4 linked regions of the Rhinolophus ferrumequinum genome follow. Each later gene encodes a partner of the first gene's protein in a complex. Links are inferred from orthologs where the notes say so. Each region holds a gene or a part of one and is shown in the gene's direction. Other genes may lie near its edges.

Evidence for each region.
Region 2: the proteins of F2 (region 1) and FGG are in contact, whole or in part, in a crystal structure (PDB 2HWL), measured with the Homo sapiens proteins. The link is inferred for Rhinolophus ferrumequinum from reciprocal best matches to the Homo sapiens genes F2 and FGG. Residues at the interface, in NP_000497.1 of Homo sapiens: His450, Pro451, Arg452, Arg461, Arg486, Ala489, Ala490, Leu493, Ile530, Val531, Glu532, Arg533, Cys536, Asp546, Asn547, Met548, Phe549, Cys550, His605, Phe607, Arg608, Leu609, Lys610, Lys611, Trp612, Lys615; in NP_068656.2 of Homo sapiens: Pro439, Ala440, Glu441, Thr442, Glu443, Tyr444, Asp445, Ser446, Leu447, Tyr448.
Region 3: the proteins of F2 (region 1) and THBD are in contact, whole or in part, in a crystal structure (PDB 1DX5), measured with the Homo sapiens proteins. The link is inferred for Rhinolophus ferrumequinum from reciprocal best matches to the Homo sapiens genes F2 and THBD. Residues at the interface, in NP_000497.1 of Homo sapiens: Phe382, Ser385, Pro386, Gln387, Leu423, Arg425, Thr432, Arg433, Tyr434, Arg436, Asn437, Glu439, Lys440, Ile441, Met443, Lys470; in NP_000352.1 of Homo sapiens: Ser424, Cys425, Glu426, Cys427, Tyr431, Ile432, Leu433, Asp434, Asp435, Thr440, Asp441, Ile442, Asp443, Glu446, Asn447, Gly449, Phe450, Asp479.
Region 4: the proteins of F2 (region 1) and FGA are in contact, whole or in part, in a crystal structure (PDB 2A45), measured with the Homo sapiens proteins. The link is inferred for Rhinolophus ferrumequinum from reciprocal best matches to the Homo sapiens genes F2 and FGA. Residues at the interface, in NP_000497.1 of Homo sapiens: Phe382, Lys384, Ser385, Gln387, Leu423, Arg425, Tyr434, Glu439, Lys440, Ile441, Ser442, Met443, Lys470; in NP_000499.1 of Homo sapiens: Trp52, Pro53, Phe54, Cys55, Ser56, Asp57, Glu58.

The regions. Positions count from the first base shown.
Region 1 is NC_046294.1:14,304,417-14,311,845, reverse strand, and holds the start of F2 (prothrombin), read left to right. Parts: upstream 1-4,426; 5' UTR 4,427-4,469; coding exon 4,470-4,548; intron 4,549-4,926; coding exon 4,927-5,090; intron 5,091-5,770; coding exon 5,771-5,795; intron 5,796-6,035; coding exon 6,036-6,086; intron 6,087-7,403; coding exon 7,404-7,429. Other genes in the region: ATP synthase F(0) complex subunit C2, mitochondrial-like, read right to left, coding at 797-1,141. UniProt on the Homo sapiens protein: Thrombin, which cleaves bonds after Arg and Lys, converts fibrinogen to fibrin and activates factors V, VII, VIII, XIII, and, in complex with thrombomodulin, protein C. Functions in blood homeostasis, inflammation and wound healing.
Region 2 is NC_046301.1:25,437,484-25,445,052, reverse strand, and holds the start of FGG (fibrinogen gamma chain), read left to right. Parts: upstream 1-4,554; 5' UTR 4,555-4,623; coding exon 4,624-4,701; intron 4,702-4,802; coding exon 4,803-4,847; intron 4,848-5,041; coding exon 5,042-5,225; intron 5,226-5,336; coding exon 5,337-5,430; intron 5,431-6,974; coding exon 6,975-7,105; intron 7,106-7,405; coding exon 7,406-7,539; intron 7,540-7,569. UniProt on the Homo sapiens protein: Together with fibrinogen alpha (FGA) and fibrinogen beta (FGB), polymerizes to form an insoluble fibrin matrix. Has a major function in hemostasis as one of the primary components of blood clots.
Region 3 is NC_046306.1:43,502,219-43,509,381, reverse strand, and holds the start of THBD (thrombomodulin), read left to right. Parts: upstream 1-4,160; 5' UTR 4,161-4,816; coding exon 4,817-6,553; 3' UTR 6,554-7,163. UniProt on the Homo sapiens protein: Endothelial cell receptor that plays a critical role in regulating several physiological processes including hemostasis, coagulation, fibrinolysis, inflammation, and angiogenesis.
Region 4 is NC_046301.1:25,420,025-25,427,793, reverse strand, and holds the start of FGA (fibrinogen alpha chain), read left to right. Parts: upstream 1-4,760; 5' UTR 4,761-4,833; coding exon 4,834-4,887; intron 4,888-6,794; coding exon 6,795-6,920; intron 6,921-7,403; coding exon 7,404-7,587; intron 7,588-7,769. UniProt on the Homo sapiens protein: Cleaved by the protease thrombin to yield monomers which, together with fibrinogen beta (FGB) and fibrinogen gamma (FGG), polymerize to form an insoluble fibrin matrix. Fibrin has a major function in hemostasis as one of the primary components of blood clots.

The DNA.
Region 1 (7,429 bases):
ATTCTTCAGTATAATCTATAACTCATGAGAATTTAAAAAAATATAGCCATGTGTCAAATAATACTTAACTATATTAACAATAATGCTTTCCTATTACTGAGATCCAAATCTATATTCAAACTTTTTTGTTTGTCAAAAAAAGTCTTTTTTTTTAATTTTTTAATTTTTTATTTTTTTATTCAAAAAACTAAACCAATGATGGTAATTCGATTTCCTTTGTGCATTTGGTTTTTAGATTTCTCTTAGGTTTCTATTATTCTGAACAGTCTCTTTCATCCACCCCTTTTATTTCCATGTCATAAATTTGTCAGAGAAACTGGAGTTATTTGTCATGTCAAGTGTCCCTCATTTCACCACGATGTGGTGGTCTTATTCTTTTATCATCTATATTTCCTGTAAACTAGTAATTAAAACAAAGCTTTGATTTGATCCAGGTTCGCTAGTTTAGGAAGAACCCTTCATAGCCAGCATTGTGTATTTCCAGTTTTATTATCATATCACATAACAGTGCTGTTTATTTAGTGCTTACCATGTGGCAAGCATTGTCATACTTCACAAACATGATTTATTTGGGGGGTAAGTAGTTTAGTTTTTTTGTTTTTCTAATGCAGTATTTATTTGTCTTTCCTCGGTCAAACCCTGAGCCTACCACTTTTCCCCAGGCTGCCTGGGGAAGTATAGGAAAAGGAACATACAGGGCAGATGAGACGGGAGAAAGAACTATGGGAGGTGGAGACGGCTCCTTCTCATAGTAAGGATGAGAAAGGCCACCATCAGGCAAAAGAGCTGCAGGGCCTCAGAGGGCAAAGCCAAGAATGGCGTAGGAGAAGAGCTGTTGCTTTAAAGAAGGGTTCCTGGCATAACGAGTGATGAGGCTCCCAAACACGGTCCCAATTCCAGCCTCAGCCCCAGCCCCAATGCACTTGGCTACTGTGTTGATGTCCTTTGAAATGGCGCCTGTTTGGAGGCTGCGGCTAGAAATAAGTGCGGTCAGAATATGTGGGGCTGCCAAGCTGCTGAGGCTCTCATCTGTCAGTGTCTCAGGCCGTTTCAACACCACTACAGACAGTGACTGGCTGGCTCGGCAGCTGATTGGTGCTCCTGACCAGGGGGTGGAGACAAGCCCTGCGCAGGCGCACATTTTCAGGGGATGAGGGGCTGTGGCAGGAGAGCTATTCCCAGAGCAGAGAAGAGGACTGGTTTAGTTTTTATTTAATAATGATAAACTTAACTCTGAATCCATCTAGACCTGGAGGGAGATAAGGATGGAATCCAAAGAATTGCAGCAAGCAAGAACACAAAGATTACAGGATGTGAGAGCTGGAGTTATTCTCAGGAACAAAAGGAATCGTTGGAGATAAGATAAAAACAAAATCAAACTGAGAGTGGCCTCGAGTCTTCTTGCTGGTCTTGCCATTCCTGGATCCAAAGCGCCCCTTCGCTTCTACAATATGCATGCCGTCTCTCTCCTGGCCAGAACTCCTGCTTGCCATCCAACCCATCAGTCTTCACCGTGCAGATGACACACTGGGAGCCATTTGGGTTGGGTCCAGCATTTGTCATGAATGAGATGGCAAGACGCATATTCTTCAAAATGAAGTTCTCCCCCTAGATAGACTTGCTGCCGATACTATTATGGTGTGTAAATTCATCACCCTGACAGGTAAACCCAGAAATAAGTCTAGGAAAGCAGGAACCCTTATAACCGAATCTCATCTTCCCAGCGCTCAGAGAACTGAAGGATTCTGCTTTGGAACATTGTCTGCAAATAGCTTGAAGAAGACGTGGCCCAACAAGTTGACCGTTAATGGCCATGTCTACACGTGGCCTTGGCGAAGCTGCCACTCCAAATAAGAGTCAGCAAAGAGTCCAGCATGATCTTACTTAGCTGCAAGTGAACATTGGTATAATTCTGGTTTTACAGATGGTGAGACCAAGGACTGGCCTCCCAAACTAGTAATGTCTTCCGTGCTGTGGTGCTGGTCTGTCAGGATTGGGGATTTCTGACAGTGAGGAAACAAGGGGGCAACCCCCCGGGCCCCCAAACCCTCAGTAGAAGAGGTGCCATGTGTTACGTGTTTTGTCCTTCTCCCTGCTAACACCCCACACTCCTCCCACACCTGCCCCTTACCTGTTCTCCCTCTCCAGGTTGAGTCAGCAGTGGCCCAAGCTGGTCCTCAGAAAAAGAAGGACCACTTACCTCCAGACAGGAAGGATGAAACCACACCTCTCTTCTCTCCACTTCTCAGGAGCCCTCTCCCTTTCTTTACTCAACATGGAATTTTTAAAGAAATTAGTGAGGTGAGATCTTTTCACCATTCTAGTTAAAAAAAGGGAGGGGGGATAGGCTCAATGTCATTAGGAACAGGGATACAGATTAAAACCACGATGAGACACCTACATGTCCGTCAGAATGGTTAATACGAAATGGCTGGATAATGTAAGGTGTTGGTGAGGATATGAGCAGCTGGAACCCGCAGACGTTGCTGTTGACACTGTAAACTAGCACAGCCACTTGAAACAATTATTTGTCACAGCAACTTAGCCGAAACATATGCCTGCTGTATGAGCCAGCAAAGCCACTCCTGGGCCTGGAGCCGACAGAAACAAGTGCTTATCAGTCCCAGAAGACTTGTACGTGATTGTTCATAGCACTCTTCACAATAGCCCCAAACTGGAAACTGATCCCAGTGCCCAATCAACAGGTGAATGGAAATAAGATGTTCCATAGTCATCCAATGAGAGACGACGCAGCTTTTAAAGGAAGGACTGCTACACGCAGCGTGGATGAATCTCAGAAACGTGCTGAGCGAGAGAAGGCAGACACAAACAGGTATATCCTGCAGGTTTCCATTAGATGGAGTTCAAAAACAGGCAGAACGGGTCTGCGGTGATGGTGGTTAGAATAGAGGTTCTCTTAGGGATGACGCAAAGGAGGCAGTTGGGGGCCGGAAATGTTCTCTCTCAATCTGGTGATGGTTCCATGGGTGTGCGCATGAAAATTTGAGTTAAACACTTAGGATTTGTTTTAACATTATGGTATATACGTTAAATCTCACCTTAAAAAAGAAAAGAAAAGAAATATATAACATAAATATATATAAATCTAAATGTAGGAACTGGGCAACCCAGGAATTAAGCTGATTCGTGGGAGTCCTGGTCCCCAGTTCTCTGCATTGGGAAGAGCCCTCCCTGTGATCTTCCCAGACTGTACAGAACCGCAGTCCAGACCCTGAACGGTCAGTCCCGAAGGACAGCCAGGTAAGAATCTGTGTTTCTGCTCTTTGTCCCTCTGTCCTACTTAGACCTAGGACTAATATTTACCTTGTGTACTGTAAACAGGAAGTGGGGGAGGGGCGGGAGCAGGGCTGGGCAAGGGGCAGTGTGGGACCACCAGGTGCTGTAGGCTGGCCAGGCCTACAGGGGGAGCAGGAAGGGCCCCACCGTGAGACCCTGGGAACTGGGTTGGCCCCTGTTTCCAGAAGCCAGGCAATAGGTTCTAGGAGATGAGAGGAAGCAGAACAGAAGCCTAGGAGGCCTGGCCCTGACTCCTCCTCCCGGGCACCCCTGCACACAAACACTCCTCCACAGCTCCCCAGGTGGGAGGCAGGGAAAATGGGACCTTCCTTCCGTGGCTGAGAGGCTGAGAGCAAATGTTGGCTGTCCCTGCCCCAAGTGTGTCCTAGGGCAAGGTGGGCAGCGCTTTGCTGACTTCACCCTTGTCTCTCTTGTATCTGTTTGTGGGAATCACACAAACCTCCCTGTTGGTTTACATCCATGTACCTACTGATTAGTAAGCACTTTCATGGGCTTTCCATTCACAATCTCCTTTAATCTTCCCATCAAAGTACTCTTCCCATGTACAGATAAGGAAACTGAGGCACACAGGGATTAAAGCAACCGTCACCATATGTTAGGATTGGAAGGAATTGCAGAGACCTTGTGAACCCACTGGCCGCAGTTGGCACATGTTCAGGGAAGTGGGGGCTGGATGATGGTGGTTACATTGGTCTTTCCTTTGGGACTTCCTCCCAGACCATCCATCTCTGGTCCTAGGAGGACCTGTGCTCCCAAATGGCGGGTGGATTACCCTGTTTCCCAGAAAATAAGACCTAGCTGGACAATCAGCTCTAATGCGTCTTTTGGAGCAAAAATTAATGTAAGACCCGGTCTTATTTTACTATAATATAAAACCTCGTCTATAATAATAATGTAATATAATGTAATATAATATAATATATAGTATAGCATAATATAATAATACCAGGTCTTATATTAATTTTCGCTCCAAAAGATGCATTAGAGCTGATGGCCCAGCTAGGTCTTATTTTCGGGGAAACACAGTATCTATTCACTTGTCCCCATGGCCCTGACCTGCTGACCACTTCCTCTCAGCTGGTTTCTTCATAGTAGTTTAACATTAACCTGAGAGGTCAGGATGAGCCCTCTGCGTCCCAAGCCGACACACTATGGCGCACGTCCGAGGCCCGTGGCTACCTGGCTGCCTGGCCTTGGCTGCCCTGTTTAGCCTTGTGCACAGCCAGCATGGTAAGGGGGGCTTGGAAGCTGGGATAGGCTGGCAGACTGGGATACGGGCCCATGGCTGAGGTCCCCTGGCTCGATAGAGAGCACAGAGCCAGCCCCAGGTGGGCCTCAGCCACAGTATCCAGCTTAGGGAAGGAGTCCAGTGCTCAGATCTGGCCAGACAGTGACGACTTCTCTCTTGCCATATGGGGAGTGGACTGGGGTGACCCATGAAAGGAGGGGAGCTAGTGGGCTACCATTAGCAGCCTTTCAGGTCCTGCCGCCATCCCAGACACCCCTTTTCAGAAGCCAGCAGGCCAGGCCAGGCTTGCTTCCTGCCCCCACGATGGCCAAGACAGCCAGGCTGCCTCAGGCCACTGTCCCATGCCCCTCCTACTGCAGTGTTCCTGGACCCTCAGCAAGCAATGTCGCTGCTCCAGCGGGTCCGACGCGCCAACAGTGGCTTCCTGGAGGAAATGCGCAGGGGCAACCTGGAGCGAGAGTGCATAGAGGAGCAGTGCAGCTACGAGGAGGCTTTCGAGGCGCTGGAGTCGACCAGTGCCACGGTGAGGGAGGGAGGGCCAGGCTGCTCGGACGAGGGCCGGGATCCCTCCCAGTGGGCCCAACTCTAGGAGCACAAGTGAGGGGAGCGAGGAGCATCCCAGCTCTTTAACCTCATTCTATCTCTGGGCCCCATTTCACTGGCTGCCAAGGTGAACAACCTGTGGACCTTGGAGGTCCAGATGTCTGGTCTTGGGGGCTGATGAGGCTCCAGGACATCGGGAGGCCTCTCAGGCTTCAGACATCTGTCTACTTCAAGATCTCTGGAGCCTCTGCCCCCGTGGCCTCTCTGCTTCAGCTTTTCTGCTAAGTCTCTGCGATCTTGGGGCGTGGGGCTCTGGTGGGGCTGGGAGCCCTGGGCCTAGGCCTCTCTGTTCCGGGAACCCTGCAACCTTTCCCTTCCTTGGGGCTCTGCCTGAACCCCACGGCCAGCACCCCATGCCCTCTCTTCTCTAGTCTACCCCACCCAGGGGAATCCCTTTCAGACTTGGGTGCGGGTGGGAAAGCTCTCCTCTCTTTAGTGGGCCGGGGCAGTTGGAAACAAAAGCAGGAAACTGCCACAAACCTTCCCAGAGTGACCAGGGTAAGGGAAAGAGAAAAGTATAAGGAGAAGACATAATGTTTACTAAAAACCAAAACACAACAGCATCCTGCCATAGCCTCATGCTCAGCCCTTGCTTTTCAGGATGCCTTCTGGGCCAAGTACACAGGTGAGCACTGGGAAGGGTCTGCTTCAGGAAGAAAGTCCTGGGGACCCCACTTAGAGAATGTACTACTCTATGGTCCATCCAATCATCCACCCCCACCCCTGCCTCTTCCCTCCCTCACACCCTCCCTCCGTCCCTTCCATCTGTCTGTCCATCTCTCTGTTTCTGAATGTCATCCCACCCTTTACTTGAGCCCACCTTGTCCTTACCCCAACTCCAAATGTGTTTCTGGGTCTTTTCCAGCTTGTGAGTCGGTGAGGAAACCTCGAGAAAAGCTCGTTGAATGTCTGGAAGGTGAGGAATCAATGTGGGGGTGGGAGGTCAGGATATGAAGGGGACTGCCTGGGAGGAAAGCAGAGGCGTGTGGGTCAGCAGGTTGCCCAGCGGCGGCAGCCCCCAGCTTCTGATTCTGCCTTTCTGTTCTGCTGTCAAGGCTATTTTGCACCTAGCTCTGGTAAGATGATTAATGTTGAAGGAACAAATGAATGAATGGATAATGAATTAATGTTCAAGGCCTCATTCTCATCTGAAGCCCTGTCCATGCCAGTCTTCCCCATGTCTCCAGGGCAGAGCTCCGAATATGTCACATTCATTCTCCAAAACCTTGAGTGGCTGCCCCGTGCCTCCAGCATAAAGCACCAGCTTCTTAGACTGGCAAACATTGCAGGTTCTGGCCTTAACCTCCCCTTCTAGCGTTATCTTCCATTGCACCAACCGTGAACCCAGACCCCAGCTACTCTGACAGCAAGCTCTTCTCCGAACATGCGAAGATGGTCCTACTTCCTGGATCTTCCTTACATTGTCATCTTCCTACTGAAAATCTCCCTGTCCTTCAAGGTCTAGTTCAAATGGCACCACCTTGCTGAGCCTTCTGAATACACTGTTAGTGTGACGATGGACCCCACAACATGAACTCTTTAATCACTGGCCATACTTTCATTTGTTAAATCACTTATTAACAGACATTTCACTACGCCCCTGCTAGGTGCCAGGCACTTTGTCAAGTGCTGGATGTTTTGAGAGAATCAAGAAGCTCACAATTTCATAGGAAAACAAAACCATAAAACATCAATGTAATTGCAGGAAACATTCTGTTCCAGGTACCAAGAGAATGCCAGGAGAAAGAGCCTTTAGTTTGCTGACAGAATCAGGGACAGCTCCCCAGAAGCAGCAGAGTTTTACCCGGATTTGTGAGATACATTGATGGACAAACAGGAGAGCATTCCCAGGCAAAGAAAATAGCATGTGCAAAGGCCCTGAGGCACGAGGCGCTAAGCTGACAGGATAGGTAGACCAGGGTCAGGTTAGGCCTTGTTCACTTTTTCATCCTGCTGGCCATGAGGACCCACTGAATATAAGCTCCATGAGGGCAGGGACCTACTTTAATCATGACTGTCTTATTCATCACTATGTCCTTAGTACCTGGCACTGCGCCTGTCCCTGTGTCACAGTAAATATTTGGTGACTACTGTTAAATGGATTGGAGTACTGCTGAATGCAGAGGAGGTGCTGAGTAAGTGCAGGTTAAGAGTTGTGAGCCAGAAGGAGTTTGGAAGGGGTAGATGGAGCTTTGCTAAGACAAAGGGGGGGGACGGACTGGGGTCTCTGCAGGTAACTGTGCTGAAGGTCTGGGTATG
Region 2 (7,569 bases), on another chromosome or scaffold:
TTCTCTCAGAGGACATCTTATCTACGAGGACTCTGATTTATGACTTGAGATTGTGGTAAAAAGTAAGTCTTTTCTCTAACATTGTCATAACATATCTCAGATTCCAAGGCAAGTCAGCAAAAAGCCAAGAATACAAGTACTATTCTAAAATTAAGTAAGATAGAATTTCCAATTTCTTCAATTTAGCTGTTTATCAACCTGTGCATATGAGATTATATATTATATACATAAGATTTAACACAAAGTTATGTGTTACCTTAAATTCAACAAATCAATATTTTATGGGTTTCAGCAAAAAGAACCACATTGACAGTATGCTCTGTCTGACACACTTTGCTTGAACTGTGTTACTCATAGGAAGTACACCTTCTCAGAAGGCCTGCAGTCTTTGATTGGTGGAATTAGTTTAGGTAGAATCTACACCTAAATTAGACAACCAGATGCTTTCTTCTCTGGAAGCATTACAGAATCAGCCTGCAGTTAGTTGCAACAGATTATGTATTAGAGAACTTTCTAGAGCTGGAAAAACAAAGCTTGTTCCCCGTGAGCTAAATCTACCAATAATGGCCCCTCTTACAAATTTATGAAATGAAATACAAAAATCTGTTGTCACTTTAGAACACTTGTTAATTCATAAGCCTTATAAACATTTACTTAGCACTTTCTGTGGATCAGGCAATGTGCTCAGCACATTATTTCATTGAATCTGGTAACAGTCCTATGAAGTATTATTATAAATACTATTTCTATTTTACTAACACTATACTGCACCTCAGAGAGGTTAAGTAACTTGTACTGAGTGACATAGCTACATAGTAAGTTGTAGAGATGAGATTCAAACTCAGGAGTACGGAGTCCAAAGTTCTTAACAACTGCTTATGCATATTCCCAATTGAGCTATATAGTCTTCTTAAAAAGCAATGCCGTAGTCACCTTTTATATTCAAATTTTAAAATATCAAGAAACAATTACTAATACAACAAATAAATCATTGTGAATAATCAATAATTACATATTTTAATTACGTGTATTTTGGGTAGGTAATATGTGCATATATTCAAAATTCTAAGTATACAGAGAAAATGAAGCCCTTTTTTTCCAATCTTGTCCTTCATTCTCTGTCCCATACCTCTCCACAGAGGCAAACACTGGTGGAGTCTCGTGTGTAATCTTGAAATGATATTCAATGTATATGGTAACATGTATGTATATGCATTCTGTTGTCTTTTTGTATTTTGCCTTTAATGTTTTACATAGTAGTTTTTGATTTCGTGTTTGGCTGGGAAGTTGTTGTTTTTTTAAGGTAGTCAAAATTCATGAATATTTTCTGGGCTTTTGTGTCATATTTTAGATAGACCTTCCGTACTCAAGTATTATGATTTCCTCATATTTTCTTCCAGTATTTTTGTGGATTCCTCTTTTATATTTCAATATTTGTTAATCTGTAATTTATTTTGGTATAAAAAGTTAAGTATGCATGTCTCTTAATTTTTTTCCTCCAGAAAGCTTCCCAGTTGTCCTAAAACCATACTAATGCCATATATTTAATAATTTTTTCTAGCTTCACTGATATGTAATACCAACTTTATCATAGTAAACCTCAAAATATACTTTGTCCTGTGTCTTGACAGTACTTATCTACCTAATATGGACCAGTATTATATTGTTTAAAAAATTATGGAATTATAATGTGTTTTATATACTATTTGAGAGAGATTTTTGTCCTCCTTCTTCATGTTTAGAAATTTCCAAGATAATTTTTTCTTTTATCATTTAAACTAATTCTGTAAAAAGGAAAGAAAACAAGAAGGAGAAAGAAAAAAATAATCTTGTTTATAGTTTTATTGAAATATCAGTACAGTTATAAATTATCATGGAAATCACTGACATTTTAATTTAGAAATAGAGCATGATTTTTCATTTGTCCAATTTTTATTTTATATCCCTATTGTTTGGAATTTTTAATGATATTTATTTTGCCTATCATTTGTTAAATTTTTCCTTAGATATTTTATCTATTTGTATGTGTGTAATTGAAATTGTAAGTGAGATTGTTTTCATTCATTATGTGTTCTAACTGGTTGTTGTTTTCATGGATGATAGCTATTGATTTCTGATTAGTAATTTTACACACCTACCTTATCAGTAGCTACTTTCTGATTATTTATTTCCTTTTACATAATTACCCTTGCCAAAGTCATTTATTTTTGCAATTTGAAAGTTTTGAGAGATATTAGAAGTATAAACTTTAAAGCTTTACTTTCATCGCAATTTAATTTAATGCCATCAAATCACTATTGAGTGTTAAATATTGCTGTGCTAGATGCAGTAACCATAAAAATAAGTTTACCATCTAATGAGATGGACACTGTGTACATATACGATACAGGGTTGCTATAAATGCCATGAAAGAGGAAGAGCTGGCCTCTGGAGTTTTGGATTTTGTTTTGGAGGGCATCGATGTCACGAAACAGGATCTTCAGGTGGATAGCAATTTAGCAGGCAGAGATGCAGGAGTGTGATAAAGGCAATCCAGGCAGAGGCAGCTACATATGAAAAAAAATAGTCTGAGAGCACTGTATGTTGCACATTAGGGGAATGTTATGTGATTCCACTGGGTAGACTAGAAGGTATAGGAAATGGACTCAAGAAAGAGAAAGCAGCAAAGGTAGGAAGGAAGAATCATTATGTTGATATTCATTATAGTGGGAAATAGGGAGTCGTGAAGGTTTTTGAGCAGGTGAGTGTCATAATGAGAGCTACAGTGTAGCTCTACAGTGTCAGCAGTGTGACAAATGGTTTCGAGCTGGAAGTGACTGGAGTGGAGGAAGAGAGATCAGACAAGCAGTCTAGACAGGAAATAAGAAGGCCTCCTCTAGGATGTTGGCAGTGGAAATAGAAATTAGGAATAAAATAAAAGTGACATTGTGAAAATAGTTTTAAAAACAAGCTTCGACAACTAAATAGACAAATAGGTAAGGAGATGAGGAAGATTGGGAAACTTTAATTGGCTGGTGGTGTGATGATATGATTGGCAATAACTGGGAAGTCAGAGAAGGGAAGTATTAAAGAGGAGAGAAAAGGCAACAAATCTGTTTTGATATATTCACTTGATTATAATAATCATTAATTATATACTAACTAGGAACATTTATCTTTGTTTCAAGTCAAAACATAACTTCGTAAAGATTTAGGGTTAAAGTGTTAGCATTTCTTTCAATCTAGATGTATTTCTTCCACTAATGTGTTTAATCAAAATTTGCAATGCTTAGTTTCAGAGGAGGAAATGAGGGATAACCCAAAAGTAGGGATATTTATAATAGTGGAAATGCACAATTATCAATTATCAATAGGAGACGATGGTAAATGTGTTTTCCCAATATACCAGGAAGCTCTAGGGGCAGAGCAAACAGTACAGCCCTTCTCTAATATCTCATTTTACCCCTTTTCTTCCTGCTATGCTTCTAGTCACATGTATGAGAGGTGGATTTTTCTAGTCCCTGCCTCTGTATCCAGGCTTTCCTCTGAGGTGACTAGATGGAAACTAAGGAAAAAACGAGGTAGGCTCCTGACTCGTTTTCCCTCTGTGGCCAATGTGGTGCCATGCCAGCCAGTTTTTCAAGACAAAGGGAGAGTCGAGCTTAACAGCTCACTGAGAACCTTGAAAATGGTCAACATATAAGGGAAGGGGGTCAAGAAATACGAACTTCCAGTTATAAAATGAATAAGTCCTGGTACAGCATGGTGTCTAGTGTTAATAATACTGTATTGTTCATTGGAAAGTTGCCAGTAGAATAAATCATAAAAGTTTCATGAGAAAAAAAAATGGCAAAACTATATGTGGTGATGGATTTTAACTAGACTTATTTGGTGATCATTTTGCAATGTATACAAATATCGAATTATTATGTCGTACACCTGAAACTGATATAATGTTATATGTTAGTTATATCTCATTAAAAAAAAAAAAAAGAAAGAAGAAAAGATAATGGTCAGCACAGAGGGCCAGGAATATATTTTCCTTTGTCCTTTGTTCCTAGGAATACTGACAAATTGGGACTTCGTGGAAAGCAAAGTCTTCTTGCCATAGCCACAGGTTCAAAATAATTGTTACCTAATCCCTGGGCTAAGAAAGCGCTCTCCGTAATTTGGGCTATGGTACCAGGCTCTATCTTAAGGTTGTGTTGGGTTTGTTCTGATCGAGGTCAGCTGGCTGGGTTTGTTCAGGTAGAGGTCAGCGCTGTGTTTGCTCTCCCAACCGCATACTGGAAGACGTTGCATCATACAACCTCCCAGGCTCCCCTCCTCTTAGCAATGGCTAATGCTTCACTAGCCTTTGCAGATGAGTTGGCTGCAGAGGAGAAAGGTGGAGTTGGGCCAAAAAGGAGGAGCTTAAACCTGTGTACACCATCTGGGAACCTGACTGAGCATAGGCTGGGGGTCAGGATGAGGAAAAAGAGATGGGAAAGACTTCCCCCCACTTCCCAGTAAGAAGGCCCCGTGATCAGCTGGAGCCACTGGCAGTTCTGGCCAACCTCGGAACTTACATAAAGGGACAATTGGAGCCTGAAAATCCACAGTGCTGACACTTACAGGGCTTGGAGCACAGGGCACCCCGACATCATGAGTTGGTCTTTGCACCCCCGGAGTTTAATCCTCTACTTCTACACTTTTGCATTGCTCTCTTCAACATGCCTGGCAGTAAGTGTGCTGTCCACAACATACATTTGTTTCAAATGGAAAGCTGAAAAATAAGAAAATATGTGATAAACTAGTGAAATTTCTGTATTTTTCTCCTCTAGTATGTCGCTTCCAGAGACAACTGCTGCATCTTAGATGAAAGATTTGTAAGTAGTTTTTATGTTTCTTGCTGTGTTTGGACTGGAGAGGGGCAGAAGAATAAGAGGAATTCTTTCACAAATGTTATTTGGCATTTTAAACTCTGTTTTTAACACAGTCTAAGTTTTACCTATTTTTATTAATAGATTTTTAAGTGTAGCTTTTATACAGATTTCAAATCATTCTACTGTTGTATTTTCAGGGTAGCTATTGCCCGACTACATGTGGAATTGCAGAATTCCTAAATAATTACCAGACCGAAATAGACAAGGATCTACAGACTTTGGAAGACATCTTAGGTGAAGCTGAAAACAGAACATCACAAGCCAAAGAACTGATCAAATCCATCCAAGTCATCTATGATCCTGACAAACCATCACGGCCAAGTGAGAAACTAAATACTACTGACTGAGAAAATAATTTGTGAAGTCCTTTTGATGTTGTTTTAGTGGTTCTATTTGCCTAAGCATTTTTATGTTTCTGATCCCATATTACAGATAGGATAGAGGCTGCTACTAATAATTACAAGAAAATGACGGAAGATATTATGAAATATGAAGCAACGATTATAGCACACGAAACAAATATTCGGTAAGCATTTGTGTTTTAACTTACTCTCCAAGAGTGATTTTTTTATTTAACACTTTTTTAATTTAGTATAAAAGTTTTTTATTTAATATTCCAAACCTCAGTGGAAGTAATCTCCACCCGCCCTTATAATATCCAATTGGCATTATGCCTGACCATCTTGAACATAAAATGGAGGTAGGATTTTTTAGTGCAACATGAATTGTATTGGGTTATATAATTGCTTTTTAGTTATCATGTGGGAGAAAAGTGTTCTAATGTCTTCAAATGCTGTTATGACCATATTTATCAAAATGTACCCCCCACTCCCAGTTGTCTAACAATATAAATTCAAATGGGAATTTGGGTGCTGAAAATAAAATTCTCTTTATAAGATTGTCAAATCAGTGGTGAGGAATTAGCAAGAAGAGGCACAGGAAGGATCTTGGCTACAAAAGTAAATTACATTGAAGGTAGAGCAGAAAAACATGTGTTTTAAAAGACTAAGTGTAACAAGCATTGTAAAGCTATACTGATCATGGCACAGTGACTCTGAAGTTATATATTCTCCTACCTTCACTCGAAAGTAAAATGTCTCTGTTAACAACTTTCCAGGGACTCATAAACTTTCTGAACATAGGGTTTCAGATGCAATTTTAGTTTCTTCCTCATTTTTTTTTTTTCTAAATTGTTTTCAAAGCAGGGTAAGGAATGGCATTAAATGGTGGATGGTGGCTAGGAAGAAGTGGCCCAGGAGGGATTTCTCCTCGTTTTGGTATCGGAGGGCCATGGTTATTGTTGTGATTATTACTAGCATTATAAGTCACATTATTATTGCCCATCATTGTAATGGAAAGAGACTATTGTGCAGAAATTTTCTAAGGCGCAGTGAAGAAAAGGAGTGGTCAGATAGTTTGTTTATTCTTCTTGACTTCAAAGAAGACACAACAATCTATGCATTGTCGATAGTTTTCTATCATTTTGGAATATGTATGAGCAACCCTGTGAAAAACTACAAAAGCAGGGATTTTCACCTCCTCCAGCCTCCTTTTCCCAAAGCTATGTAAATAGAAACATTAAGAAGATAGGGAAAGTGTCTTCATTGTTTTATTTTAGGTAAGATAATGTCCCTGACAATTTTCTCAGGTAAATTATAGATTGAAGTCCTTAAATAGATCCTCAGCAGATCCACAAATGAAAAGGAATAATGCTTCCTTCTGCACATGTGAATTAATGAACAGTCTTTCTTTCCCTAAGAATATCTCATCATAAGAATAATCACCAGATGGTCTTCCTTTAACCAGACCCTTCACCCACTTGGGTCGTTATCTGCTCAGAATGAGCATTGTTTAACGACAATGACATTTTTTATTGACAAGGACTTTGTTGTCTTCTTTTCCAGAAAGCTTAGAATTTTAAGTCACCTCAATTTAGTAACATAATTTTACTAAGAATGGAATAACTTACCAGGAAATAATTCTTGAGAAGATAAGGTAGTATTTTTCAATTAAAATGCAAAATTATGCCTCTGAAAGAAATACTCTATTATCTTATTCTTCTGCTTGTAGATTTTTGCAGGATATATATAATTCAAACAATCAAAAGATCATTAACCTGAAACAGAAGGTAGCCCAGCTTGAAGAACAGTGTCAGGAACCTTGCAAAGATGACGTGCAAATACATGAGACAACTGGGAAAGGTAAGTGAAAGGTCGATATTGGGATGATGTCCATCAAAGCTAATATATAAAGTAAAGGAGAATTTATGTATTATAGTATATAGAAGTAATTTTGAAAGTGTCTAGCCATTAAATCTAGGTGTCCAAGTGCTTAGACTTTTTTTTGATTAGCTAACAATAGTTTGAAAGGAAAGCTGGGGTGAGAAGTAAGAAAATGCTTCTTGGTAAAGGACTAGTGTGCAACATGTTAAAAGCTCATTTTTAAGGCTGACCCCGTCTTTCCTGGATTTCAAACCACAGTAACAGTTTCTTCTTCTTCAGATTGCCAAGACATTGCCAATAAGGGAGCCAAGGAAAGTGGGCTTTACTTTATCAAACCTCTGACCTCTAAGCAGCAGTTCTTAGTCTACTGTGAAATAGATCAATCTGGAAATGGATGGACTGTGCTTCAGCAGGTATGTGTTCCCTCACCGTGTGTATTTAGT
Region 3 (7,163 bases), on another chromosome or scaffold:
GTGCGAATCTCCCCCAAACCCGGAGGCCTAACCCTATAAAACAAAGCCCCCGACCCCGGGAAGTGCTCAGTCTTTGGAATAATTCTGCTGAGCCCGCTGGCGTAATAAAGCTGTGTTCTCCCTGATCTCTGCGTGCCACTTGAGTCTCTTGGTCCTCGCCGCTTTTCCGCAACAAGCTGACTTACATTTCATCCAACAGACATTTAGTGAATCTCCACTAAGGACAGGAACTGTGCTGGGTGTTGAACACAATCAGTGGCTGAGTTCAATTTCTAGGGATCTGCATGTATCCTTTTTTAGCTAAAATTTATTGAGAGTTTACTATGGCTCAACTGTTCTAAATGTTTTACATGTATAACTCATTTAATCCATATAATAATACTTTGAAGGGGTAACTATTATGACCCCCATCACATAATTGAAGAAACAGAGGCACAGAGAGGCCAGGTTACTTGCCAAATATGACACAACTTACAAATAATGAAGCTGGGACTCAAATTCAGCCACGTTGGCTCCAAAGCCCATACTCCTAACTCTGAAGCTCTGAGGTCTGCCATCTTGTGTTTACAAGTTGACATGAGAAAGTCACACTGTAGGGGGGCACAAAGAAACACCTGCAACAGTCACTGAAATAACGCTTGAACACCACCTATGCACACAACATGCTGTTGCCTGTATGAGGATACAAAGATGCATAAGAACAATGATCTACCCCTAGGAAAACTAGATTGTGAATCTAGCAAAGAGCATAAGTATATGATGACTTATAAAGCAGGGAAGGTGTGATAAATGCTAAAGTGCTGAAAGAAAGTCCTCTGAACTTCACAGAGAGATCAGTTCTGGTTTGGTTACTGAGAAACATTTGTTGATGGGGCAGTGTGCCATCTGTGCCTTGAAAGAAAGGTCAAATTTCAGTAGATAGAGAGAAGGTAAAGGCAGATGAAAAGACAGGAGCTCTGGGATGAAGGAGAGATGGGATGAGGCATTTCTTCCACAGTCAGTAGGAGTCCCTTTTGCTGGGGCTTTCAGCACCCATGGGGGCCAATGGGACACCAGCCTTTAAAACTGTGAGTGGCAGGACACTAGGTCCAAACCCCAATGCAGACCCCTGAGTGCAAACTTCCTATTTTGTGGCCAGAGTAGAGGCAGAGTGAGTCAGCACCTTCAGTGTGGCAAGGCTGAGTGTAGAGGGCGCGGAAGCAGCTTGGGTTTCCCTTAGCAGGACATGGACATGGGCATCTCTGAGGGATGTGAGGATCCAGGTGCTGTCAGCAGGGGTGAAGAACCAAAAGGAAAGAAGCCAGAAAAAGAGCTGTCTTATCGGAGCAGTGATAAGGGCAAGGACAAGACAGAGAACCTGATGAAGTCTGACGCAGAAGTGACGAATTCAAGTGGGGTAGCTCAAATATTGATACAGGGAAAGAATGGTTTGGGAGTCCCTTCTAGGCATCCCACCCCCAGTCTGCTTTGACATTGATATCATTACAAGGGGAATGCATTAATTTGACAAAGGGTAGGATGTAAAGAGATAGGTGAAGTCTGTGGGCAGAACCCTGAGGACCGGCCACTCTCATGGGGCAGGAGGGTGAGAGGGGTCAACCGAGGCAGGAGGAGAGGAAGGGCAGGAAGTTAGGTGTCTCAGAAATCATGGGAGGAACAGACTTGAGAATAGCAAGGGCTCAAGAGTGAAAACTGCACAGAGATGTCTAGAAAGATGAAGACTGAAAACGTTATTGGCTTCAGTATTTAGGAGACAATCAGTGTTCTTTAAGGGGTTATTCCGTAAAACAGTCCTGGGTGGGTGAACCCTGGTGAGGGTGGCAAGCTCAGGGACTGGTTAAGCACAGGAACTGGTGTATCATCCACATAGGGATAGAGGGAGTGGCCCAGCTACTACAGGAAGTGTAGAGAAGAAGACGTGGGTAGTTAAAGCATGCAAAAAGGCTTCAAAGTGATGACTAGAGAGGGGAAAGGATTGGTAGAGAGCAATCACCCCTGAAGACAGAGGTGATGTTTGCTGAGGACTAGAGGTAAAGTCTGTGGGATGGGAATGGCCAAATGGGGGTATCCACACATCCTTTTGCAGGGTGACCCACCCACGGTCCATGTTCTACGCCATTCAGTTGTTGTCCTGTTTTGTTTATGTTTTTGTTTTTTTCTATATGGAAGCATCCAACACCTCCTTATAAAAAGTTGGCCCAAATCCCACAGGCATCGAGTTCTCATGTGGACTCAGTTACTAGGGCTATTCTCAGACTTCCAATCTTTTTTTTCTTCTTTTTCTTTCAAGAATCAATAATAGGCTCAAGGAGACTTAAATAGGATGCTGCACAAAAGGCAGTCATGGTTAATCAAATAGAAACCATCCAAGAACTGAACCAGCCTGGTGTGGGGCAAAACCGGTGCTTGAACATCCCTCCGCTCCTTTTAGGGCTGGCAGGCTCAGGAGGGCTCCACTCTTTGTTTAATGTTTTGTCACAGGTTTGAAATTCTTAGTAAAATTGGAACCAGGAGGTAGCTTGTCCTGTCCCCTCACTCATCCAGGCAATGTCTCCCCTTTCTGAGATCTTTCAGCAGTGTCCCAGCAAGGTTCCAGCCCATATCTGCAGGCCTTGGGCCTGGGCTGGCTGCACTCCAGTCAGCCTGGTGTGGGAGGGATGTGCACAGGAGTCATGACTTCTGACTAAGCCCAGGCAGCCAGTGTGGGATGTCAGGCCAGCACCTGCCCTTCTCCCACTGGGGACAGCTGGATTCTCCAAAATCTGATGCTCTTTCTTTCCTCTTCTCAGAGGAGCAGTTGCACTGTTTGGGGGAGCTTCAGACCTCAGTCTCCATGCCTTGCTCTTCCCGTTTCTGTGTGGGAGCTGGGGCAGCTTTCCCAGGACCTAGCAGCACGCAGCAGGAACATTCTCGGGTCTTTGCAGGTCTCAGCTCTCAGCCCAGGCATCAGGGAGTGTTGGGAGGGACCATTGTACCTCTCTGCTTTCACTTTCAGAGTGTCCATGTCTCATCCCCCCTTGGTTACTCTAGGTCAGTACAGTCCAGCCGACAGGTGCTTGTCTTTCTCTTGTGAGGACACCACACTCTCCTGCTCTTACAAAGGGACCCGAGAGGCAAGACTCTTCCCCGCTCCCCGGAAGCTGTGGAATCCTCAGGGCTGTGGAATCCTCCGGGCGTCCCCACCACCCCCAACTCTCTCCCTCTCTCTCTCCTCCCCCCTCCCCCACTATTTCAGTGTAGGTTTGGCGATCTCTGACTTCTTTGGCTTTGTTTAGAGTTCAACAGCGCCGCCTCCTGGTGCTTGGTTGTGAGTCACCATAGCAGAGAGAAGGCATAGGGTGTTACACACACACACACACACACACACACACACACACACACACACACACTACCACTCTCCCTTATGTTTTGGACCCACCCCTCCGCATTCTCCGTAAATGAATAAGAGGAAAAGGTCACCAAAGTGACAGATTGCCATCTTCTCCTCCCAGCTCTCTCCACCCTGCACGTCCACAGGGCCCTCTTCAATGCCCTTTGCCACACAAGTGACACTTATATACACCTCTGTATCAGTCTGATCTTTCAGCCAAATGGAAAAATTCTTAACAGACTCGAGTGGAATCCACCTTGAAGTCCACAACGCCTGCCGGCGAGGGCTCCCGGAGGAGGATTACTCTTTGGGGAGGCGAGATGCACTGTACCTCTGTGAAGCTGGGCAAAAACAGACCAAACTGTCTAACGTTCCCCACAACACGCCTGCCCCTACGGGACTCAGCAGAAATTTGCCTGCCATGGCTTCTGAGAGGTGACAGGACCTTGGAGCACGACAGCATTCCGGAGACTTTTTTCCACATGATGAGATGAGGTCTGGCCTTGGCTGCTCATGATCAGGGACTCCTGTGTCCCTAGTTGAGCAGGGGTGGGTGGGTGGGGGGAGGGGGCACCAGCGTTAGGATGTTAGGTCAGCCCTCCCGGCTTCCTCTATCATTGTCCCAGCCACATCCTCTGTCTTCTGGAGCCCAGCGCACCGCAATTTCCAGAGCTAGGCGCCCTTGCCCTGGGCGGGGTCTAGCTGTCTCCTTGCGATTGTTGTCTTTGGGGAAGTCTACGCCCTAGGCAGCCCCTCCCAAAGCCCTCTTCTTGAGGAGCAGCTCCTCCCGGAGCCCCGCGTGTCCTGAGAACTAACTCCCTTCACCCTTCTTCATTCACAGCCTTCATCATCCCGTCTCATCTTCCCAGAGTTCTGCAATCCAGGCTGTCCTTGAGATCGGTTTGTACAACGAATTTATGAAAAAAAAAAAGTGGACCAAGAGATTAGGGGAAGCTGCGGATTAAGTCCTTTTTAGGACTGCGAGCCTGGTGGCCCGCGTGGAAGGAGCACGACTATCGCCTGGCTGACAGAAGTGCTGTCCTCCCGTGGCTCCTGCGCTCGGCGACCCCGCCCGGGGACCGCCCAGCGCCGGGGCTGGGTTTACTCATCCGGAGAGGTAATCCCAGGCGCGAGGGCGGGAACTAGGCGTCAGGAGAACCCAGTAATCCGAGAATGCAGCATCAGCCCTTCCCACCAGGCACTTCCTTCCTTTCCCCGAACGTTCAGAAAGGGAGGGCTGCGCACTTATAAACTCGGGCCAGGGCCTACCGCATGTCAGAGGCTGCCTCGCAGGGGCTGCGCGCAGTGGTCTGACGCCTGTGCTCTGGGACAGACGCCAGCCGCTGTCGCTGCCAGCTCCTTGCGCTTCTCAGCCCGGGCGGGGCGCCAGCCCTGTCGCGGTGCCTGCGCTCTTCCTGGCACCTGCACGCGGGGTGCCGGGACAGCATGCTCCGGGTCCTTCTCCTCAGCGTTCTGGCCCCCGCCACCCTGGGGCTTCGGGCACCCCCAGAACCGCAGCCTCGCGGCAGTCAGTGCATTGAGCACGACTGCTTTGCGCTCTTCCGGGACTCCAAGAACTTCCTCGCCGCCAGCCAGGCCTGTGAGCGCCTGAGAGGCCACCTGATGACCGTGCGCTCCTCAGTGGCAGCTGATGTCATCTCCCTGCTACTGAGCGGCGACGACAGTCACGGTCGTCGCCTGTGGATCGGCCTGCAGCTCCCACCCGGCTGTGGCGACGCAGAGTACCTCGGTCCCTTGCGCGGCTTCCAGTGGGTTACGGGCGACAACCACACCAGCTACAGCAGGTGGGCGCTGCTCCACAAGGACCCAACACCTCTCTGCGGTCCGCTGTGCGTCGTGGTCTCGGCTGCCGGGGCCCACGCGCCGGGCGAGCCGGCCTGGGAGGAACAACAGTGCACCACAGAGGCTGATGGCTTCCTCTGCGAGTTCCATTTCTCAGCCTCCTGCAGGCCTCTGGCTGTGGAGGCCAGCGCCGCGGTGGCCGCCAGCGTCTCGATCGCCTACAGCACCCCGTTCGGGGCCCGCGGCGCGGACTTCCAGACGCTGCCGGTGGGTAGCTCCGCCGCAGTGGCGCCCTTCGGAGTGGAGCTGGTGTGCGAGGAGCTGCCGGGAGAGGCCGAGGCGCGCTGGGGCCGGAAGGTGCCAGGCACCTGGGACTGCTGCGTGGAGAACGGCGGCTGCCAGCACACGTGTAACCAAAGCGCCGGGGTGTCGCGCTGCCTCTGTCCTGCCGATTTTACCCTGAATGCCGACGGGCGCTCCTGCTCCGCGCCTGGGGAGCACTCGTGTGACAAACTCTGCGAGCACTTCTGCGTCCGCAACCCGGACGTGCCCGACTCCTACTCATGCATGTGCGAGACTGGTTACCAGCTGGCTGCGGACCAGCACCATTGCGAGGACGTGGACGACTGTGAGCAGGTGCCCAGACTGTGCCCTCAGCTTTGTGTCAACACGAAGGGCGGTTTCGAGTGCCACTGCTACCAAGGTTACGACCTGGTAGACGGCGAGTGCCTGGAGTCCGTGGACCCGTGCATCGGGACTAACTGCGAGTACCAGTGCCAGCCTGTGGGCCAAACTGACTACCGCTGCGTCTGCGCGGAGGGCTTTGTGCCCGACCCCCAAGACCCCCACAGGTGCCAGATGTTCTGCAACCAGACTGCGTGCCCAGCTGACTGCGATCCTAACACCTCAACTCTCTGCCGGTGCCCTGAGGGCTACATCCTGGAAGAGGACTCCAGGATGTGCACCGACATCGACGAGTGCGACAATGAATACTGCCCCCACACAGATGCGTGCCGCAACCTCCCCGGCACCTATGAGTGCATCTGCGGGCCCAACTGGGCCCTCGCCGGCCGGACTGGCACCGACTGTGACCCTATCAAGGTGAGCGGTGGCGACGATGGCGGCTCTGGAGAGCTCCCGGTCAGCCCCACTCCTGGGACAACCTTGAGACCGTCGCCTGCAGGGTCTATGCATTCTGGGGCGCTCATTGGCATCTCCATCGCTAGCTTGTCTCTGGTGGTGGCGCTTTTGGCACTCCTCTGCCACCTGCGCAAGAAGCAAGGGGCCACGAGGGCCCAGCTGGAGTACAAGTGCGGGGCCTCAGCCAAAGAGGTTGTACTGCAGCACGTACGAACGGAGCAAATGCCTCAGAAACTCTGAGGGACCTCCCTCTCTGACCCCAGTTGTTGACTTGGACTTTCCTTCCCTCCAGTGCCTTATTCCCCTGTTCTCCCCCAGCCTTACTCCCTGGCCACCCTTAGCGGGCATCAGAACTGGAAAAGACACCTCACCCCTTTTTTCACTGATTCCATGAATGGCTGGGGAGAGGGAATTAGGAGGATGCACCCCAGTTGCTCCCATGAGATCACAGATCAACTGGGCAGAGATGGCAATTGTACAATGAAGACAGAGACTGCAGAGTGTCCCATGCCCTCCCCATGGGGTACAAGAGGGGTTAGTGGTCCACAGCATTTTGCGCAGATTATGATCTGATGAACTAGTGAGTGTAATCCTGTCATCGATGATGACCAAGATATTTATTTTTTAAGTATTTGGGACACTTTTTCTTTTTTCCCTGTGTGTGTGTCTTCAGACCCACTTTTGAGTCCCTCCTGCCATTCTCTCTCTCTCTCTCTCTCTCTCTCTCTCTCTCTCTCTCTCTCTCTCTCTCTCTCTCTCTCTCTCTCTCTCTCTCTCCTTCCCTATCTATATGTTTATGTACTCTCATTTATCATGTAGCAGTTAACGTATCTTGGTGAATTTTTTTCAG
Region 4 (7,769 bases), on another chromosome or scaffold:
TCACCTTGGTTTTTGTCTGCTGATAACTTCCAAAAGATGAAGTGATCTGAGGTAGGTGGGAGCCCTCCCTAGATAAATCTGAATGTTGACTCTCCCTTAAATAAACAGAGTAGGGCAGATTCCACTCTGTGATGAAAGTGGCCTCTTTCAAATCCTCAGAAGCAAGTAGTTAAAGTGTGACTTAAAAAAAATATAATTTAACAATTCATCGACCTTGGACTGGAAATGTTTTCCCTCCTAATCTGCCCTCCTTACTTCACAAAGCTGTGATAAGGGTCAAATGAGATCACATATGAAATTGCCCCAGAGATAAAAATTAAACAAAAACAAAACTGAATTGGTTTTTGCTGTTAAGATTGGTATTTCTGTATGAGACTTGAATCCAAAATAAAAGTTTGGAAATATAATTTTAAAACGTTATTAATTTTTCGCACTTATTTTTAAATTACCTTTTCATTTTTCTATTGCTTTTCTCATTTACAGAAAAATTTTAAAACATGCTTCAGAGAGTTCCCTATACCTGTTTCCCAGTTTCCTCTGTTAGCATCTTACTTTTCCATGATTTGTCAAAACTAAGAAATCAATTCTAATAGTCACTATATTCTAACTTCCATACTTTATTCAGATTTCACCAGTGTTTACACTAGTGTCCTTTTTCTGTTGCAGGATCCCATCCAGTATGCATTGCATTTAGTTGTCTCATCTCCTTAGTGAGCTTTGGTAAGTTTCTTAATCGTTCCTTGTTTTGCATGATCTTGAATGTATAGATGAGTAAATTACTGATCAAGTATTTTGTAAAATGTCCCTCAGTTTGGGTTTCTACACTACTATTCTCAATAACTTTTTGTTGAATTTTACCTAAGCAAAATTTTACCCAAATGTCTCCTGCCAGTGGCTTTGGTTTTACTATAGAACAGCCCATTAAAAATAGGTTCCACTAAGAATCAGAGAATTAAATGGATCTGGGTAATTATATTGCCCCATACTTTTCATGTAATTCCTTACTGTGGAAAGCCTAAGTACCTTACAGATGCCATTTCCCCAGATCTCCGTACATTGGTGACAATTGATAGAGCCGTTTGCTAATCTTTAGTAGAACTACCATGAAACCAGCAGAGAAGTTTGACAAATTCAATGGATGTTATAGTGTGTGATGTTAGAATGAATCCATGGTGTTCATATTAATACATCAATTGATTATTCATCTAAATAATGGTTTTACTTTTCAAAAATAGCATTTATACTTTAATGCATGTTCAATGTAAAAAATTGGATAAATCTAGTAAAACTTAGTAAAGCACATTATAGGTAAAGTTAATTTATCTTGAGAATTGAATTATTTAATCAATAAGAGTTAAAAATGAAAAGAAAGGAGTGGGGAAAACTCAGGAACCTCACTTTCATATCCATCTATCTATCTATCTATCTATCTATCTATCTATCTATCATCTATCTATCTATCTCTATCACTCTCTTTCACACATATACATATCACACACATATCACATACACATATACACACACACTCATAATTACTTAATAGAAGCTTGATTAAAAGTACTTAAGTAGAGTCGGCCTGGTGGCTCAGGCGGTTGGAGCTCCATGCTCCTAACTCCGAAGGCTGCCAGTTCGATTCCCCCATGGGCCAGTGGGCTCTCAACCACAAGGTTGCCGGTTCAACTCCTCGAGTCCCCCAAGGGATGGTGTGTTCCGCCTCCTGCAACTAAGATTGAACAGGGCACCTTGAGCTGAGCTGCCACTGAGCTCCTGGATGGCTCATCTGGTTGGAGCGCGTCCTCTCAACCACAAGGTTGCCGGTTCGACTCCCGCAAGGGATGGTGGGCTGTGCCCCCTGCAACTAGAAACGGCAACTGGACCTGGAGCTGAGCTGCGCCCTCCACAACTAAGACTGAAAGGACAACAACTTGAAGTTGAACAGCACCCTCCACAACTAAGATTGAAAGGACAACAACTTGACTTGGAAAAAAGTCCTGGAAGTACACTCTGTTCCCCAATAAAGTCCTGTTCCCCTTCCCCGATAAAATCTTTAAAAAAAAAAAGTGCTTAAGTAAAAGATTATGAAAATTACATATAAAGTCAACAAAAAAGAATGATTATTATATCATTGGAACATTATAGAATTTAATTCCAAAAAACACTAAAAAATTATTCAGTTGCATAGTCATTAATTTGGAGACAATTCAATAATAAGAAATAAAGTAGCTTTCTTTTCTGAATAAGGAGATTGAAGAGAAATACAGTGTGACAGCATGAAGCAAGGTTAAGAAAAGTTCTTTTTTTCCCTCCTCACTTCCATAAGTGCATTTCGGAATCATTTCTGTGTATTTTAGGAAATTCTCATTTTCTCTCTTCAGCTATAACTTCCAGGAAAGCCATCTGGAATCAGGGTATTGATGAGTTCTAAAAATAAAAGTCCCATTAATTATTCTTGCCTAGATCATCATACCAATTTACTCACCTATCACAGTAAGCAACATGGTTAATAACAAACTTTTTTGCAACACCATTGAAAAGCAGAGGACAAGTAGAGAAAATCGGACAGACAAAGCAAGTAGCCTTGCCAATATTATCCAGTTAATCCTCTAGAGGCAGTGTCTGTTGTAAAAACCTGAGGCACAGGCCCGGAAAGGGTATTTTAAGTACCAGAATCTCCTACATTTTTATAATTCAGGCATTTCAAAATTTAGACATTAATTTTAGTACTTTCCAATGTGCACTTAATACTGTTGTAATAAAATATTTCCTGTCCAAGTACCATTATCTCCTTGTTATTAAAACAATAATAAATGTACAGTTTCATATAGATTTTTATGCTAAAAGACACAGTAAGTATTTCTCAAAAACATCTTGCATTTGTAGGCCTGAATTAAATCTGATCGCTTAAGGAACATTTTACGCAAAGCAATGCAGAAATGATATATCACTCTCTTCTCTGTTCTTTGAATATGCCTCGCAAATTTTCCCATTGTTTTGTATTAGATATAATCATATGAAATTTCAGATGTTCATCATTTTAATCTACACAAATGTCAATTCTATAAGGTTTAACTTCCTCGCTGCAAGTGTATTTGATTTCCTCACCAACTATAAGCAAGTTGAAGGTACCAGATTGTCCATTATTTACCTTTCTATTTGAAGAACATAGCATGAGGACTGACAAATAGTAGACATATTATAAATGGTTGTTACATCTAAACATATGGATTAGGAAGTAAACTGCTCTAAAAATTCAGTAAATTTAAAGTCAATTGGTCAAGAAAAGAATGTTCCTCTGTTTCCCTGGGATGTATTCCAGGAAAGGACAAATACCTCATTCAAAAGAAAGCTGAGAGTTTTTGTTTTGTTTTGTTTTGTTTGTATTTTTAAGGTATGTTTACAAAATGGCAAATATTTAGAGTGACTGGCTGTATATTTTATTTATAGTGGAACCCACTTATGCTTTCTTGCTCAGTGAGAGGCCACACCTTTTGGGGAGAATATAAAGACCAATAAAATATGTCAATTCTCAAGTTTATGATCTAGTGGAGGAGATGGACAACACTCCAATAATGCTAAATGCGCAAATGGTGCATGGCCTAAAGAAGTATGGAAGAACAAGAGATTGTTTCTATTTGGAAAGATGAAGTCAGATACTACGTAAGGTGTCTGGCAAAGTGCTCAGCACTTAGTAAATACTCAATAAATATTAGCTATTACTATAATCAGGATTGACTTCACACAGGAAACAGAATTGGAGGCAAGGTAAAATTTATAGGCAAATTACAGTATGCCCAGTGAAACAGGCGTTTCAGGTAAACCAAAAACAACAAAAAAAAGTTTTAGTTTTGCATGGGACATACTTACAATAAAATGTGTTTGTTGTTTATCTGAAATTCAAATCTAAGTGGGCATCCTGGGTTTTTATTTGCTGAAGATGGCAATTCTTAGCCAAGAAAAGTTTTGCTATGGCGATGAAGAGCAGAGAAAGTAAATTACCATGTCCAAAGGCATAGAAACAGGAGAGAAATGGTGTTTTTCATGGCACTTTATGTTCTCTAATAATTGTTAACACTTACTGAGTACTGTACTTAATATGTGGCAATCATTACTCTGAGGGCTTTACAGGCTTAATTCATGTATTCTTCATAAAAACGTGTGGTAAGTTATCATTATCCCCATTTTAAAAATGAGGAATCTGAGGCATAAAGAGGTAAAGCAGTGCATTCAAAAGCACAGAACTGGCAAATGATGTGGCTGGGATTGTGGCTGGGATGCTTGGATCCAGGGGCTGCTGTCATAACCATTTTGGATAGAGGAAAATAATTCGTTTAAGTTAAGCTTTTAGAAGCTCATCAAGGGCAGACTATCAACACAGTCATTTTTTAAAAGTCAGATCATCCAACCATAATTCCTACATAAAGTGCAATGTCATTTGTCAAATCTCTGCTTTAAAGTGGGCTACTGCTAGCCTGCTTCAGCCTCTCTCCATATTCCTTCAGGTACGCAAGTCTAGGTCTGTCCTCCTATGTTCACCTTTGGATTTCCAAAGTCACCTTGTTCCTGGAATGTGGGATCTTCCCCGAACTGCTGCTTTCTTTGCAACAACTTATTGAAAGCAAACAAGCGTGGGCGAATTGAGCAAGAACTTCTGGAACACCAACCTTGGAGAAGGAGCAAGGAATGTAGAGTGAATGTTGACCATCTAAACAGGACAACGGTAATGATTAATCCCATCTCCTGCAGATTTAAATGGGATGGGACCTGGGAGTTGACACAATCCTCTTTTCTTGCAGCTGGATTGCTGCTCATGAGCCAGTCCCACCCACAGAAAAGATGTTTTCCATGAGGATCTTCTGCTTGGTCCTGAGTGTGGTGGGAACAGTTTGGGTATGGTCCTCTTTATTTTCTCTTTTTTCTTTCTCTCTAGTGTTTATTCCACAAAGAGCTTGACAGTCTGAGTCAGTCTTATATATGTCTTCATACACTGTTAGCTTTCTAAGCTCTGGGCCCTGCAGGCCAGTTTGTAGATGGGCCTGACACCTCAAGAATACAGGGTAATATGACCCTAAGGGGCAGACTTACCCGGACCAAAGTGTACAAATTCACAGAGGAAGTTTTAATATCTGTAACTCGGTCTTACAACATTTTTTTTAAGGGAAAAAATCTTTGCCATCTTTGTTGCTATAAAGCCTCGAGATAGTTAATGCTAGCTAACAGAACAAAACATTCGCATGGTGAGAGTTTTGAAAATTCTTGATATTTGCCCATAATAAGCAGAACAGTAGTTTAATACAGTTTTTTCTGAAAGGTTGTTTTTGTGTTTCTTTTGAGACAAATAAAAAGCAAATTAGTTGTCTTTGCAAACACATTACATAGCAAAGTCAGAAGAGATTAACTGATAAACCCATATGCTTTTTTGGGAAGCAATTGTATTCTTTTAAGCTAATTACTAACTATTGCAATGATTCCTAAAGTTTGACTCCAGAAACCTACAGGAAAGAAGAGAAACTTAATTCAATAAGGTTTTTGATCTTATAAAAACATGATAAATATGTTTTAGAAAGTCAGTTACATCCAGTCTGTGAATAATTTCAGTTTATTTCTTTCCCTTCACCACTCATAATTCCTAATACCAGAGCAGAAGAAAACTAAAGAGAACTTCTAACTTAATTTTCTCTCTCATAATAAAACAATAACTAAACATTTTTAAGGGAAATAAAACTAACATCATTTGCTAAGATGATATTTTGGATAAGGCATAACTTTCAGTTATTTCTCCCTGTTACTGGCATAAATACAATTTAATTTTTGCTTGTTTTTTTTTGTTATGCCATTTAATTATGAAGTATGTTTGAATTTATAATTTTATTTCTTAGACAAATAGATTATACTTGTTCCTTTAGATAAGTTGTTCTTGATTGCTAGAATTAGTATTATTCTTATTTGGTTTTTTTTTTTAAATGAGACAACAAATATTAACTAATTATAAAAATAAACTTTCTGAGATTAAAATAGTCGTAGCAAAAATCTTTGTAAGTTGGTGGCACAAAATAAAAATAGCCAAAATCTAAAACCCACATTGATTTATTAGAATATAAAATCTTGTTGGAAGAATATTTTTATCTTATTTCACCCCATAGATCACAATAGATCTAATTGTAAGGTGTTCAAAAGAGTTGTCAGTCATAGACCATTATTTTTTCTTTCAGTTTACTTTTCCTCATTTCAGTTAAAAAGATACCATTACATGAGTGAGCAAACTAAAAAGCTTTTCTGAGTCTGAACTGGACACATTTGTGTTCTTAGTATATACTTGCTCAAATTATGAACCCATAAGGTCATCATAGAAACTTAAAGGACAGACTTTAAGCAAAGATAGTGTAGGCTTTTTCCTACTGAAACAGGAATTATAGGAGAAAGGATTCTTTGATTTTTTTTCAATTATCTTTCTATCTCCAGATATCAATGAAAATTAAAAGGTAAATTTTAACTCATTTTGTAGATTCACATAATTTTTCTTTTATAATGGAGACTTTAAAAGGCCTACCATTTGCTCAATGCTTGTTTAGTGTCAAACTCGGTTAAGAAATGTGTACCCTTTATCTCTTTCAGTTCTCACAACTTCATAAAATGGGTATTAGGATATTCATCCAAAGGATAAGAAACCTGAAGTTTATAGTGGCCCCAAAGCTGGTGCTGTTAATCTTTGGGAGAGGCCATCTTCTTTGAGTTTGACAAGCATGTCAATGTCTCTTTTCCTGCTTAATGTTGTTCTCTTCTGTTAATCTTTAAAGTCTGGAGAGACCCAAGAAGGTGAATTTCTAGCTGAAGGAGGAGGTGTGCGTGGCCCCAGACTTGGGGAAAGACAGCAATCTGCCTGCAGAGAGAGAGACTGGCCCTTCTGCTCTGATGACGACTGGGTGAGCAGTGGGCTTGGGGAACGACACAATCCTTCCTTGCTGGGCTAGAAGTGTGCACAGCCTGACCACTTAGGTCACAGGAAACGTTTTCAATGGAAAAAAATCAAATAGCTCCTTACACGTCAAATTAAAGAAGGCAAATGGAAAGGAATGTAGTCCTGAGAGCACTGTTTAAATTACTTTCAAATCTCTGGGTCATTAGTGGGATTAAGAGATTGGCTTTTAATTCCATGTACAGGTGGATACAAGGAACCTGATTATTAGGCTTCAAGGTTTCACTGGGCCTAATTTATGGTTAAATGGGCCCTCTTTCCAGAATTTCCTTATGATCGCTGATTAGCCCGTTCAAACGACTTTTAAATCAATAGATAATCTGAAGAGATTGGGGAAGAAAGCAATGGGAGCGGCAAGGAAACCTTTAAAATTGTACTGGAGCCAAGAGATAGACCCTTAATGTAATTATTTTTTTCTCTTCACTTTCAGAACCAAAAATGCCCTTCTGGCTGCAGGATGAAAGGGTTGATCGATGAAGTCAATCAAGATTTTACAAACAGAATAAATAAGCTCAAAAATTCACTATTTGAATATCAGAAGAACAATAAGGACTCTAATTCAGTGACCAGAAATATAATGGAAATTTTGAGAGGGGATTTTGCCAGCGGTAATCGTAAGTATTACGTATTTGATGCTTTGACTTTATAGTATACAACAGAAGAAACAACATCAAAAATCCTAAATAAATATAATATCTTCGTATAGCAACTGCAATTTTATTCCAAAGCACTTAGTGTAGAGACACATCCTTTATGATATCCCTAAATTTTTAAGGAGGGGCTAGTAATTTTGTTA